Linked DNA regions of Astyanax mexicanus. The main gene of each other region encodes a partner of the protein of the gene in region 2 in a complex. Links are inferred from orthologs where the notes say so. Each region holds a gene or a part of one and is shown on either strand. Other genes may lie near its edges.

Region 1 (7,518 bases), on a different chromosome or scaffold from region 2:
GGATGCAGTCCTCCAGGTGAACGGTGGTTGTTTCCGGTTGAGAGTACGCTGTGCGCTATTGGCTGCCGCTTCTCACCGGTGTGTGGATGTAAAAATGTGCTTGTGTGTAAAAAAAAAACAAAACTTGTAATTGTAAAGCGTCCTTGTGTTTCTAGAAAGGCGCTATATAAGTTGAACTTCATTCATTCATACTGTTTCAGCTGCATATATGCTGATTATAAATCAATGTATTTTAGTAGAATGTAAAGATTGCATAAATTTCCTTCGGGATAAATAAAGTATCTATGTATCTATTTATCTATCTATCTATCTATCTATCTATCTATCTATCTATCTATCTCTCTATCTATCTATTAAAGAAGTTTAGTTGGACTGGAGTTTGTCTCTGCACGGATCATCTTCATACTAGACTACATATAGAGTGTTAAGAGTATATACACGCATACTATACTCAGTCTATAATGTGAAAGAGTGCACGGCTCAGTGAAGTGCTGATTCTGTATCACCAGTCTAGCGTTCACAGCTCTGCAGTTCCTGCAGTCTAGGCGTGCCAGTATAGGGCATGTTTAAGTTTGGCTTGCAAAAGTATTCAAACCCCTTGAACTTTTTCATGTTGTCTCGTTACAACCACAAACTTAAATGTATTTTATTGAGATTTTAAATGATGGACCAACACAAAGTGGCACATCATTGTTAAGTGTAAAGAAAATTATTTTTTGCTGTTTTTTTTTTTATTTGAAAAAGTGTGACGTGCAAAAGTATTCACCCTTTATCAATAGTTGCTGTAGTAGAGCCTTGTTTCACTGTAATTATAGCTGCAGGTCTTATGGGGTTTGTATCTACCAGCTTTGATCATCTAGAGACTGAGATTTTTATGAATATTCTCTGATCTAAACAATTAAATCATTCCACTGTAGCTCTGGCTGTATGTTTAGGGTCATCGTCTTGCTGGAAGATCTCAAGTCTTTTACAGCCTCCAACAGCTTTTCTTCTTCCAGGATTGTTCTGTATTTATTTATCTTCATCCATCTTCCATCCATCAACTCTGACCAGCTTCCTAAATCTGTCCCTGCTGAAGAAAAAAGCGTCCCCACAGCATGATGCTGCCACCACCATGTTTCACAGTGGGGATGGTGTGTACAGGTTGATGAGCAGCATTACTTTTCCGCCACACATAGCAATTTACATTTAGGCTAAAAAGTTCAACTTTGGTCTCATCTGACCACAGAACTTTCTTCTTCCACATGTTTGCTGTGTTCCTATATGGTTTTCTTGTGGCTACAAACTGCAAACAGCACTTCTTACGTCTTTCTTTCAACAATGGTTTTCTTCTTGCCACTCTTATATAAATTCCAGATTTGTATAAAAAGGTTGCATGACTTATAGTTGTCCTGTGGACAGATTCTCCTGATCCACCTGATCTGTGGATCTCTGCAGCTCCTCCAGAGTGACCATGGGTAGCTTTACAGGCCAACCTTCTTGGAACATTTTTAAAATGTTTCTAAATGTTCTTATAATGTTCTTTTTTATCTGAGTTGTCTTTAGCTCATCTTGAGTTAAATTGTTCATCACAGTTATGTTGGCATCGCTCTCACATCACTTTACTGTGTGTGTGTGTGTGTGTGTGTGTGTGTCACTCTCTGTTAGCTGACAGTGAACTGGAGTGGAGAAACGAGGACAGGCTCTTGTTTACTCTCGGAAAACAATGTGTGTTTTTTTGCAAAATCTGGCAACCGACAATGAGATGCCACAGGCTTTGTTTTCATTGATGAAGCTGCAGTGTGTTTATTTGTGTTCCCATTCTGTCTCTTTTCTATTTACGTCTCCCTCACACACTCACACACCCACAACATGTGGCCACAAGTAGTTGGACAGCACTCGTTACGAGTCAATTCAGCTTTATTTTTGTACATGCAATGCCAGGATTCATGGAGCTCAGATTGTAAAAGAGTGCAGAGTTCAGGGAGCATGAGATCATCATCTTCACACATGGATTCTCCAACACAGAGTCCACACCTTAACCCTTATTGAGAATCTTTGGGATGTGCTGGAGAAGACTTTCAGTAAATACACCACAACAACCTCACAGCAACACCTAGGCAACCAACATCTTTCCAATGTAACCACACAGCAACATCTTAGCAACCAACATCTTTTTAAAATAACCACACAGCAACACCATAGCACCCAACACCTTTCCAAAGAAACCTTGTAGAAACACATCAGGAACCCCTCAGTTAACACCTGGTACATCACAGCAACCTCACAGAAACAACTTAGCAACCAATTTTCCAAAGTGATTGTGGGGTTAGTGAGTCTGGAGCAGTGGCGATTGCTCTAAGACTGCAAGGGAAGCTCAGCTTCCCCTAAAATGTAAAAAATAAGTGATTAAATATATACTGTTGTGTGTACATGTCACTGATTAAATATGCGCTACACCGCGCTGAACTTAGTTCAGAATCAGCCTCTTATCACTGGTAACGCCGCGGCTTTCCTCTCACTCATTCCCGCAGCTTCACAGCGCTGCTTTAAACAGTGCACACACTTCAATAGCGGAGCAAAGCGCGCGGCCAAACCAGACGAGTCATTGGATAAACGCTGGGCTTTGTCCCGCCCATCGGACGCTCAGCGTCTCTGGGGGTCTATGGGGCAGTGGGCTGGCCTCGGCTTCTGCATGATGATTGGATGACCTGTCTGAAGCGGAGTCTCTTTTTGATTGACAGCGAAATGAGCGAATCAGCGATCTTTTAGTGTAAAATATGTGATGGGAGCATTTCCATTCTGTTCTGAGTCGAACCGGAGACTTTCCTAATCCTTATAGCGGCATTTTCTTAATTAAAAACGACTAGCGACAAATCCAGCTTCTATTTCTGGTGCTTTTCTGTAGCTTCTGTAGACTTCTATCACTCTTTCTGACTTTTATCACTCTTTTCTATCGAAGTTTCCCGTCACAAAGCACTCACAGACGGACACACTTTTCAGCTGTACTGGTTTGATAAAGTGAGCTGGCTGACTGGAAGTGCTGTAACAAATAAAATGTACCGATGGCCATTCCTCTTAATGAAACCATCTCAGGACATAAATGAACAGGGGCCAGTAGTAAGTATTGTGTTATCATTAAAAATAATTTAAATAATTTAAATTAATAAATGGATTATTTAAGGAAATTAAAACTGTCATTTTAACTGTGATTTAACTGATCATTTTATGTTTATTCATGTCATAGCGTCTTTTTTATGTAATTGTTCAATGTAAAGAATGGGTACCTTTTGGTTGTGTAGTGAAAACTTGAAAATAATGCCTTTTGTTTACAAAAAAAAAACATCTCAGGGAGAGTAGAATTTTTGTATAAATAAAACTACATATGTTAAGATTTAGGCCGAAATTGAGCTTCCCCTCCTTGAAAGACCAGCATCCGCCACTGATCTGTAGTGAGTCTGTAGTGAACAGAGCAGATCCGTAGGTCATTAGCAGTAGTGAGTCTGTGGTGAGTCTGTAGTGAACAGAGCAGAGCGATCACTGTACAGAAATCAGATCTGCAGGTCATTAGCAGCTCAGTGTTTAAATGGGTTTTATGGGAAAAGTCATTATTTTACACTTTAATGCAAATCAAGCTCTCAGAATAAGCCATTACTGTAAAGTGGAGAAACCCGAGACTTTTATTACTGTAATCAGAAACATCAGCACCACCACACACATATATTTACTCCCAACCAGAACAATAAATACAAACTGGTTCAGTTTCATAATTTATATTAAATCTACATTATTCTAAATGTAATGTATCTCTACATTAATCTAATATTAATATAATGCTCATTAATTAATTAACTAATTTATTTACACATTTACTTATATATTCAATACTTAATTCACTCACCCATTCATTGATTAAATTAATTATTAATAATTGTATTTGAATAAATCTTTCACTTCCCATTCTTCTGCTTCTTCTTCTTCTTCTTCTTCTTCTTCCTCTTCCTCTTCTACTTCTTTTTTAATGTTATTATTAATCATTTATTCACAGAAATGTAATTCATTACACATTTATTTTTTATTCATTCATTCAATTAAATGAATTATTGTTTTATTTCTTAATTAATCTAGTTTTCCTTTTGTTGTAGTAGTAGGTGTTTTTCTTCATAGTTTGAAAGAGTTTAGTACTATATACATATAATGCAGAACAATATAAAACTATTTAAAATAATTAAAAAATAATTTATGTATTTAAGGTGTGTCAAATTTCTTTACGCTTATTATATATTGTTTTATTTTTTACGTCAAAATATGTTATGAACTCATTACATGTTCTATGCTTCTTATATAAATTAATTCATTTTTTGATAATTGTTTTTTTTTCTAATTTCTGATAGCATTTTTTCTCAGAGCCAGCAATGACTTTTATTTTGTAAAGTGTAATTTTCTCGGCGGGCCGGTGGCGCCCCCTGCTGGTGGAGGTGCGGTTTGCAGGCAGTAAATGACCCGGATGTGTAGCAGTAAGGAGGGCTGTAGCGGTAAAGATGTCTCCCGGCGTGTTTAACCTGCTGGAAGCGCGGGAGAAACTCACGGTAAAAACACGCTTTTAGACTCGTTTTTACTGTAGTTTTAGTGCAGTTTTACTCTATAACAGCTGTAGATGAAAAAGCTGTGCTGTTTGGGCGGGTAGCGCCTTATTAAGGCATGTTTTTTCACTGTGTTTATGGAGAGGCTGTAGCTTTTCTGCGTAACTCTCCGGTCCACCTTAAATACCGTCGCTGTTTCATTGTAGTGCTGAGAGGCGATAGACAGCAGCTAATGCTCAATTTAAGGTAGAACGGGTAATTCAAAGAAACGTTGCTGATTCAGATGTTCAGTGTTTATGGAAACTCAAGCTATTGAACTGAATTACTTATAGAGCTGAGCAATATACCGATTTCTTATCCTATCGTGATTAATTTTCTCATCATTTCGACAATATGCTTTTTTTCAAAGAATATCGTTGATGTTTTTAGGGTTTGTTTAAAAAAATATTGATTAGTTTTTTAAATATAGACGATTTTTAAAAGAATATCAGCAATATGCTTTTTTTTTTAGGAAAATCGGCGATATGCTTTTTTTTAAAGAATATCGATTATGTAGGGTTTTTTTTTTTAGAATATAAATATTTTTTTAAACAAAGACGATTTATTTTAATCAACTAAAGTTATATGCTCTTTTTTTAAAAGAACATCAACGATATAACTTTTTTAAAAAAAATTCTTTTTATTTTAGGAAAATCAGTGATAATGTTTTTTAAGAATATCAATGATTGTTTTTTTTTATAGATATGCCTTTTTTAAGAATATCGACAATATGATAAATAATTAAAGTGCACTGTCCCAACTGAAGCTACATTTCATTACAGACTGTAAAAATATCAATTTAATTGGATAATGTACAGCAAAAATATAATAATCACTGTACTGATTATAAAAGAGCATTTGAATATCTGAATAGCAGAATCTACCACTTTTACTTAATTTAGATTTCGTCTCAAAACATGATTATTGCTGTGTATCATTAAAAACTGTTCTTAAATATTGTGATATATTTTTATCTTTTTGCCCAGCTCTGTCAGCGTGTGAAATACATACTACAGTCATGGCTGAAAGTGTTGGTAACTTTTACCAACCAATTTTACCAGAAAATAAAAAAATGTTTTTGCCAGAAAATGACTGCAGATGCACGTTTATACACGTTTTTCTGCTGTTGTTTTTATAGGTTTGTGCCAACCATTCAGTGCTTTATTTTTTGTTTTACATTCCATATAACTAATTCTGACCTGATTTTTTAGAACAAAATGATTTATGAATTTGGCGTCATTTATCTTTCAACAAAATTTTACCTTAAAACATTAAGTCATGTTTTTACAAAAAAACAAAAAAAAAACATGAATGATCTGTAAACATGAATCAGTTTTGAGTTTAGCCTCATTATTCAGAAAATAGCTTGGGCTCTTATGGGTTGCCATTATTATTAATATGAAAAATGGGTAAATAATCTCAATTATTAAAACAGAAATGAAATAACTCCACTGTTTTTTAAGCAGAAGAAAGTTTACACGCTGTGTTATCCAGGTAAAGGGCTCCTCCCACTGAGTAATAACAGAATGGGTAAAACTGAAATCAGCAGAAATGATATTATGCATGTTATGTATGTGTGTTGTATGATTGACAGGGTGAAAGAAGCGGATGAAGTGGACGTTGAATGGACAAAAAAGTCTAATAATTGTATTATTAATGTATATATGATTAAATATAAGTTGTGTATCTCCTCTGCAGGCGGGTACAGGAAGTGCTCTGGGAGCTCGGAGCTGTAAACCCCTCACCAGCGCCTTCAGTCACCTGTCTGGAACGTGAGTTTCTGATTTAGAGTTTAGATTTCTGCCTGAACCCGAACCGAACTCGGGTCCTCTCGGGTCGGGCTCGAGAAAATGATCTTATAAAGTAATTCTGCATACACTATAAAAAACAACTCTATGGTAATATTGCAATATTTATTTTGCTGTTTACTGTATTTACTTATAATTATGTGTTTATAAAATATATGTTTATATAATGAACTAAATATGCTTTTTTTTCTTTGTTGCATGGCTTTATTTATGGTTTTTCATGTCTGTTTTATGATTAAATAAAAACTGTGAAGTATCTAGTAGAGAACCTTCTCCACAATGAGACACAAGCCCGGAAGAAAAATAAAATAAATGAATATTTTTAACTAAAAATAATAAAAATATTGCTTCGATCAAATCAAGTCAAGAGGTTTTTTATTGTCATTATATCTGAGTACAGGTACACAGTGTAGTGAAATTAAGGGTGTACTCACACTAGGCAATCCGAACCGGGCCCGGGCACGGTTACCTCCCAAAGCACGGTTCGTTTGGCTAGTGTGATCGCTCCGAACCGTGCCCGGGCCCGCTTGGAGAGGTGGGCCCAAGCACGGTTCACTTGGACCCGGGCACGGTACAGATGCAGTGTGAGCGCAAACCGTGCCCGGGCACGGATCAAGATGACGTCAGTGATGCGACGCTACTGTAAACGGAGGACGTTTTATACACAATTCTGCATATAATATTTTTGAAAAGGGTTCTAAAGAGCACCATAATGGTTAGTGTTACCCATAATAAATTAGGACTACTATCTACAAGTCCTAAACAACAAACACATTTTATTATTACTTGAGTTTTATGTTTCGCTCCTTTGGTCACTATTTATGTATATAGCAAGTACGTCTCTTACCTTACTGATGAACGTGAATTGTAGTCCGCGAGTAAAGCTGCAAATTTCTCCCTGGACGTCTGCTGCTTGTGTAAAAACCTTCTTACACGTGCAGCACGATTAGCAGTAAATCGTTGTGTTGCACAATCAATGAATCTCTGGTTCAGTTGCGTATTTGCACGCCCAAAACGACTCCAGATAAACAAAAACAACAGTACAATCCTGAACTCCATTGTTTTGCGCGCGCATACTGTTCTTCAAAACAAAAGTCGCCTGTTGATGA
Region 2 (7,666 bases):
AACGTATACACACATATACGCTTTGTAACATAAACATTAACCATCTAAAATACAATTCTACTTACAAATGTGCTGGGTGCACAATAACATACTGAGATCTGTTTGAGTTTTAAAGACCAAAACTTGAGTGCTCAATCCTGGTCGTGTATGTTTTAACCACATTTCACAAGCACAGATCATCCTACCATCCCTAAACTTAAGTCGAGTTGATTGATATCTGACTACATTAAGCAAAAATAACAGTGAAAGGACCACCTGCTTATTTGAATATTAACTTTTCTTTGGAAAGTTCCTTGGTAGCTTTCAATGTTTGCATATGTTTAAATTATACATTCTAATGCAAGAGCACCTTTTTACTCGCTTTGGTAGACTGCCTGTGGTAAGTATTTACAGTTAATTGATAATTTACGTAAATTATGATTAATTTATGATAATTTTATGAATGAGATTTTTTGGGAACAAGCTGCTCAAGTTTGTACAAAAACATACAGTAGTATGTTTTTAAAAGGACAATAACTTACTTAAACTCAAGGCATTTGCCAATTTCTTTCTGAAGATGCATGACCTCATACAAAAGATTCTGAAGCTGCAGATGCAGCACATCCACTTTCTGCTTCGCCTGAAGAAACAGAAGAAAAGCAGTGGGTGGGTGAGAGACTATGTGCAAATAAACTAGAAAAGGAAGAGACGAAAAAGGGTGTTTCTTGTGAGTACCTCATGCGTCTGATCACGTCCTTTCTTCAGTCTCATGTGTGCCAAACGATTCAGCTTCTTCAGGGTAATGAAATGAACACAACCTTGTCTGAGCTTCTCCTCCACCTCCTCACTCTGTATATACAAACATGGGCATTTTAGTTATGCTGTTTAGCATCAACACTCCTTTCATCTTAGCCTGGGTTTATTTTTTTTTTTAAAAAAGAAAGAAACTTACTCCTTCTTTTGCACCATTGGCTTTAAGTTCTTGTATTTCAGCCATTAGTTTTGCCAAGGAGTCACAGGTACTTTTATAAAGGACGTAATCCTGTTCCGGGTCTCTGCCTTCCAATTCCACCTCCTCGTTATACACACGCACCTCCTAATGAAAACAAGCACTCAGGAATACATAGAGGTAGCAAATATTCACCTTTACTAGCTCTTTATACCAAAAACAGGCAATGTCTGAACAAACCTCTCTCTCTTACCTACTCTATCACAAATTTAGCATTTTATACCCTGCTCTCACCCAAGTGTGTACATACAAAGAGGTGGGTGCACCAGAAATAGGCTATGTAAGTCTTTTTTTAAAGAATAGAAATTAGAGCAGAGAGACTTTTGCTGGACCTTGTTCTTCACTGACAACAGCTTCTTCTGGTCCACATTGGAGACTCCAGCTGGAAATCTTCCCTACCAATACATTTCACATGAGTGTGGCATCAAAGAATCTCCAACATTTACTATTCACTCTAAATACAACCTAAAGTCTACAGCTTTAAGGGTGTTAAATATAAGCATGTAACACCCTTGTACACCCTCTGGACACTTGGATGTCAAAATGCTAAATGGATAGAGCAAAACTGAATCCTACTGAAGTCTTACTCCTACAAAAAATATATAACAGCTATGTACATGGAATCAGTTTCTGAGAAAACAGAACAGTCTCTCCAAAATTGTCATAATTAAGAGAAGGAAGATACCACTGACCTGATCCCCTTCACCTCGACCTCGTTTAGTTTCAGGAGTCCCGCCATCACTCCGGATTACTTTTGCCTTGCGCTTTTTCAGAGTGTCAGAAGACATGGCTAGAAAAAAATTGCCAAATTAAATCAAAGAACTCAGGGATATGTTCACTAGTGAAAGTAAGAGCATTTCCACACACACAATGTGAAGTAAACTCACATAATTGGAACTAAATGTTTTGACATTACATAAGCTTGTGGAAACAATGCCACTGTAATCAAATTTATAGGTGAAAAATCTGTGTGACCTTTTTTAGGACAAGCAGTGTATTTTGTCAACTGGCACATTAAGTACATTTTAAAAATACATAGAAGTGACAGATAATGTTTAGCGCCAGATGCTGCACATCTTAACACACTATTTTGAAATTAGATGGCATGTTGATATTTAAATCATGGGAGATAAAAACTGAGTCAGGCTACTAGACACTGCATGTACACAATCAATATATTTTTGTATTGTTTTTGGCTCAAAGGCATTGGTTTAAAATCATTTACATGCACTAAGTGACTGTTCGATTTTGACAAGTTAATTTTTACATGAAAAACAACAACCTAGTTACAAAAATGCATGTAGTGCAGGGATATCAGTGCAAAAATGAGCTTTCACATTTAGTTATTTAACACTCTAATAGGTCATACTGAAACTAAAATTCTATGTGTTTTGTCATCACCAAAAGAATCACTATCGCAAAAATACCATGAAATTTCGTGGTTATTTTAGGGCCATATCACCCACCTCTATTACCAAATCCTTAACCTAACTAACTTTGTACCTAGCTAGATAGATCAAGAGATAACCTAACTAGCAGCATGGACCTTCGGAATAAGAAATGCTAATGTTAGCCTGCTAATGCAATGTTAGCTTGCTAATATTTGGAACTGGGTCTCTAAGCACAGTGTTTTGCTATTAATCAGAACGCATTTGGATGGATAAACCCGCCCCAGTGAGATGTTTGGAAATATCTGTGTAACTTTTTAAATAAATAATGTAAGAGATAAAATTTTGAGAGGAAAGACTGGAGCTCACAGGATCCACCGACTAACTAACTAATACAGCGCAAATACCGCCACGGCCCCTCACATTTAGTATAAACGGAGATTTATTTACATAAACTTAAATAACAGACATCAAAAATACTTAGCTTCAATAATCACACTTTAATCAGGCGTGAGATATTTTAGACTATATAAAACAATTACCTCAGCAGCGCGGACAGAGGGGAACGATGTGTGAATTCAGAGACTACGGTGAATCTGTATCTGAACCCTGGTTAAAATAAAAGTCTCTTTTAAAAAGGAGCTGAATTGGTGGTATACTTCGTCTGTTAAGTACTTTTGTTTGCCTCAGTAAATCTATAATTTTAACCTTTACCCTTAAAAACAGAGAATAATAATAATAATAATAATAATAATAATAATAATAATAATAATAATAATAATAATAATAATAATAAAATACTAGATATACAGCTCTGAGACCACTTCAGTTTCTGAATTAGTTTGCTATTTATAGGTATATGTTTGAATAAAAAATAATAATAAATTCCAAATAAAAATATTGTCATTTAGAGCATTTATTTGCAGAAAATGCAGAAATTAAAAAAAAAACTGCAGAGCTGTTCTTTATGGCTGCTGGTATTTACTATTAAATAATGTAGTTGTTGCCCAGAAGTGTTCTTTATTCAACGGTCAACTTAACGTCCCACATTGAAAAATATAACTTTTCGTGAAAAGCATTTCAATGTGTAAACTCGTGTTTTGTTTCCACATGCACTTAAAACACGCCGTTCTTAACGTATCAAAAAGTAAGTCTAATCTATGAAAAGACGTTGCAAATCATTAAATTCGCTTATTTACTATGTCTGTTGCAACGTCACTCTAATCCCAGCAGGACTTTTATTTTGAAACATGAACTAAAGTCCCTCTTCGCTCCCACCTGAGGAAGTCAAGTGTGTACTTACTATTGTTGTACTTAAAGAGTTAACATTGCTTTTAACGTCTAATCGGTAGTATCTGTGCAGTGTTGACTCTAAAACAATATAACGTATTGTTCACTCTGCTCAGGTTCATTGCCCAGTATTCCTCTGGGATAGCTAACTTAAGCAAATGAAAGGTACGGTTTTTTTTAGCTCAAAGGTCTGATTAGATCATTGATTAATATTCTAATCAGTTAAAGTCAGCTTACATACCTGCCAATACTCTTACTTGTATGTGTTTCAGGTGGTGCTTGTGTTGAGGGTTTTTGTAACACACCATGGCTCAGTGGCAGCCTGTAACAAATCTGAGGTTTAAACTTGTCCATCATCCGCCTGTTGTTGTTTTTTTTCTCTGCCTGCTGATCCTGGCTGGAGCCTTTATTGGAATTGGGATATACTCGAAACAACATGACATTAAGAACCCAGACATCAGCTTGGTAACTATGTTTGTATATGTTTATCAGAGTACTGAGGCTAGAAGGCTAGACCCTAAAGGAACTGGTTTGTCACACAATGTAATATTTACTATTCATAGTTTTATACAGCTTAATAATAATGCTGGTGCAACAACATTGATATGATATAAGTCTGTCTAAAGATCCTTGGTGATCAATCATCCATTACTTTGGATAACAAACATGTATTACCACATGTTTCTAGTCATCTATTCCCTGCAATGCACTTCTGTAAATCAGAATTTTATCTAATTTTACTAAATGTTTCTATAGGCCTAAAAGAGTCCTCTATATTTGTTTTAGGACTGGAATCAAATACTGGGATCAATTGCAAGCCTGAGGTACTGCACAGATGTAAACAATACAGACCTGTTGGGTGGGAAACAAGAGGATGAATCCCCTCTGCTATTAGATCATGGAGTTGGAACCTTCTCAAATGCTTCCCAAGACACTAGAGGAGTTGTTCATGTGTCCCTACTTGTACCTCTGGTGTGCACTGAAAATGATCCAAGTCACAACAGCATTAGTGCTACATTATTGGGAAGCCAGTTAGGCCTAAAGGGTGTGTATGTGCTCCTGTATTTGGTCTATAAAAATGAATGCTATTCATTGGATTGATTTTTCAAAAACTGTCCAGCGTTCATTTATTGAACCTTTTCTCTCCCCAGGTGTTGCTGGAAAGGAGTTATTTAACATATCTTTGTTCTTGCACCTCCAATCTCAAATATCAAGCACAGTCTCTAACTCTGCCTTTGATCCAAAATTGCCTACTGAGGCTGAAACGAAGCCTTCCATGTCCTGCTTGAAAATTTCAGCTCCAGCTCACCTTCTCCCGCTGAGATCGTAAGCAACTACCAAATAGAAGTTCATAAATGTGTGTTTTTTTTTTAGATTATATACCTGTATGCTGAATTGAGTATATTTTCAGGGAACCTCCAGAATGCCCTGCAAACTACAACCCAGAGAAGGATATTTCTCCTGTCAGAGTCTTTGCTACAGAATCATACAGGCAGGATTCTGATAATGCATCTCCATGCCTCATCTTAAAGTTTACACCTGACCCCAAACTGACTGTGCTACTTACTCAGGTAAAAAACATATGATCAAATATCATAACAAATTTGAATATTATGGTCATATTCTTTTTTCTACTGTCCATCTTGTCTGCTTACTGATTATAAGAAGATTTATAGTTTTTAAATTACAGAATGTAGTCCTTTCGATTTCTCATGCTTTGTCCTCTTCTATTTACCCTATTCGTCAATAGCCAGGACTTCACAGGCCTATCATAGAGCAGGCATTTGGGTTGTTAGGTTATTCTCAACACTACTGACACAGTGATTGTGTTAATGTCTTGAACAGACACAGCAGTGCTGCTGGAGTTCTTAAACACTGTTTACTCCATTAGACAGCTACCTAGCTAGCTAGATCTACCTCGTAGATGGTAAGTCGTAGAGGTGGTCCTAACATTCTTATATAAAAAGTGCATATTACCCAGTTACTATAGCATGTGGACGCGCACACCCCAGAAACGGGTAATAGTCAACTTTAAATTTCAGTCCATCGGTTTAAAAAATAAACTTACTAAAAGATTCTTCCTTGTCAGACAAGCACTTTTATGCATCTTTTTAGACACAATCACAAACCACTACCACCACCTGTACAAAACTTTTGCTGATGTGAGGAGAATTTTATGTTTCTGGTTTCCTGCAACTTACTTTGTAGTAAATTTACTTTTGTTCTGATCCCTGACACTCACTCCACAATAAGCTATTTTTGGGAAGATTCTGAGACTAATGTATAGTTTTCCATCTTGTTACAAGTGTTTTTTTAATGTACATGTGCATGAAGGAAATCTTTTTTTGTTTTTTACTGTTATTGTACAGTGAGTTGATAAACCTTACTTTACTTTTAACATAATGCAGACTGTTTTGTGAGTCTGTGTGGTAGTGTGAGTGGGAAAAGGACACTGAAAAACATTTTTTGTTCTGGTTTTGGCTTTTTGCATATGTACCTTGTATTCAGATTTATTTGATAGTTTAGACCGCAAAAAAGAAGGCGGCAAAAAGAAATACAGTTTGGAACATTTGGATTTAATGTGGATTTTTCAGACAACTTCTAAAGACTGTGGATGTTCTAACTGCCCAAACCATTTTAAAATGTCTTTTGCATCACTCGCAACGCAACAGTAACCACATCAAATCCAGAGTAACAAAAGTCTGGAGATCCAACAGCATGGCCAGGTTACTGTCGGCCATGTTGTTACTAAAGCAACCTATGCAGATAGGTTTGTGACGCCTAAACATGCAAATTCCGTATGATCACTTGCAATTATCAGTGTTGGACAGACATTTTCAGAACTCCCTCATACCAGCAGTATGAACATAGGCTTTTCGGGTAAATAGCTAGTAAGCATTAATGCCCCACTATCTAAATAGCTAGACTGAAATGCATGCATTAATCCTAATGTGACAGTTCTACATGTGCAACAATAAGCATGAAAAAATTTTGTGCACTCACACGTCAATTTATTAGCATAATCTGTTCAGACAAATGTCAACATAGTTGCCACTTTACCTGCTTTCAGAATGTAGAACCTGATCATCAAGGAATCCTAGGAATCTGCTAGATTGTCTTTCCCATCAACCCATGTTTTTGGGTTCACACATGGGATAATCATGTTTTGTTTTACATACCTTGCCCTTTACACCAACATCGTATATCATAGTATTTTTCTCTTTGATCCAGTCTTTAATTGTCCACTATCTTGTAGCAGTTCCTTGATCAGTGCGCAGCTGGAAATGGTGTCTTTTCATACAATGTACTAACCTTTCTGCTGCATCTCCCTTCCTAGGAAGAGAAAGCACTAGCTAGATATCATCTGATGCTGGTGAGCGTTGTGCTGTTGGCTGTCTGCAGCATGATGTGCCTTACTGGAACTCTTACCTGCTCCAGGCCTCGGCGTCACCTTGCCAACGATCTTCATTTCCAAAAGGTGAGGAACCAAACACTTTATTTGATGTTCATGGATGAACTTAATTTGGTTCTTTACACAATGTGCTCAAAAATCCATAAATTTTTGTAAATAAATTGCTTGTCATGTACAGACACCTTTACTGAAATGTGCAATTTCATATTACAGGTGACTGCTGGGGTCCTGAGCATGTGACATTCATGTTGAAAAGTAAACAAAAGACCATCATTTTTTTTAAGTGTGTTTCCTATATATTTAAATTAATAAGTTTATTAAACACTTTCACTCTTTGAGGTGTAATCATTGCATTAAAATGTTGTTCCAACTTTGTCTTCCTGCTCACCTCGTCTTCTGTGCTCTGCATATTACAATTTGTAAAGACAATAGAAAAAGGATGCGTCGGATATTCAGCAACCAGAATTGTCTAAGATGGGAAAAATGTACACTAAACAATGAAGTGAAAGTGTTACAATAAATTACAATTTTGGAATGCTTCTTTAATTTATACAATGGTGAAAACGTGACGAAATGAACAAAAACCTA

Evidence for each region.
Region 1: the proteins of thoc5 (region 2) and thoc1 are in contact, whole or in part, in a cryo-EM structure (PDB 7APK), measured with the Homo sapiens proteins. The link is inferred for Astyanax mexicanus from reciprocal best matches to the Homo sapiens genes THOC5 and THOC1. Residues at the interface, in NP_001002877.1 of Homo sapiens: Tyr52, Arg113, Lys120, Asp124, His127, Leu128, Gln131, Asn132, Leu134, Tyr135, Glu136, Met138, His139, Thr145, Lys146, Glu149; in NP_005122.2 of Homo sapiens: Glu60, Arg145, Arg146, Leu147, Ser148, Ser150, Gln151, Lys285, Met286, Leu289, Val296, Tyr297, Phe298, Leu302, Ser304, Leu307, Leu310, Gln311, Ser313, Asp314.

Annotation. Positions count from the first base shown.
Region 1 is NC_064415.1:2,579,840-2,587,357, forward strand, and holds the start of thoc1 (THO complex subunit 1), read left to right. Parts: upstream 1-4,469; 5' UTR 4,470-4,520; coding exon 4,521-4,568; intron 4,569-6,299; coding exon 6,300-6,373; intron 6,374-7,518. UniProt on the Homo sapiens protein: Component of the THO subcomplex of the TREX complex which is thought to couple mRNA transcription, processing and nuclear export, and which specifically associates with spliced mRNA and not with unspliced pre-mRNA.
Region 2 is NC_064409.1:52,841,161-52,848,826, forward strand, and holds the start of thoc5 (THO complex subunit 5 homolog), read right to left. Parts: upstream 3,024-7,666; 5' UTR 2,919-3,023; intron 1,779-2,918; 5' UTR 1,777-1,778; coding exon 1,681-1,776; intron 1,384-1,680; coding exon 1,321-1,383; intron 1,076-1,320; coding exon 932-1,075; intron 829-931; coding exon 715-828; intron 620-714; coding exon 522-619; intron 1-521. Other genes in the region: zgc:158398 (transmembrane protein 248), read left to right, coding at 3,973-4,131, 4,453-4,711, 4,818-4,992, 5,078-5,237, 7,004-7,144, 7,292-7,318. UniProt on the Homo sapiens protein: Component of the THO subcomplex of the TREX complex which is thought to couple mRNA transcription, processing and nuclear export, and which specifically associates with spliced mRNA and not with unspliced pre-mRNA.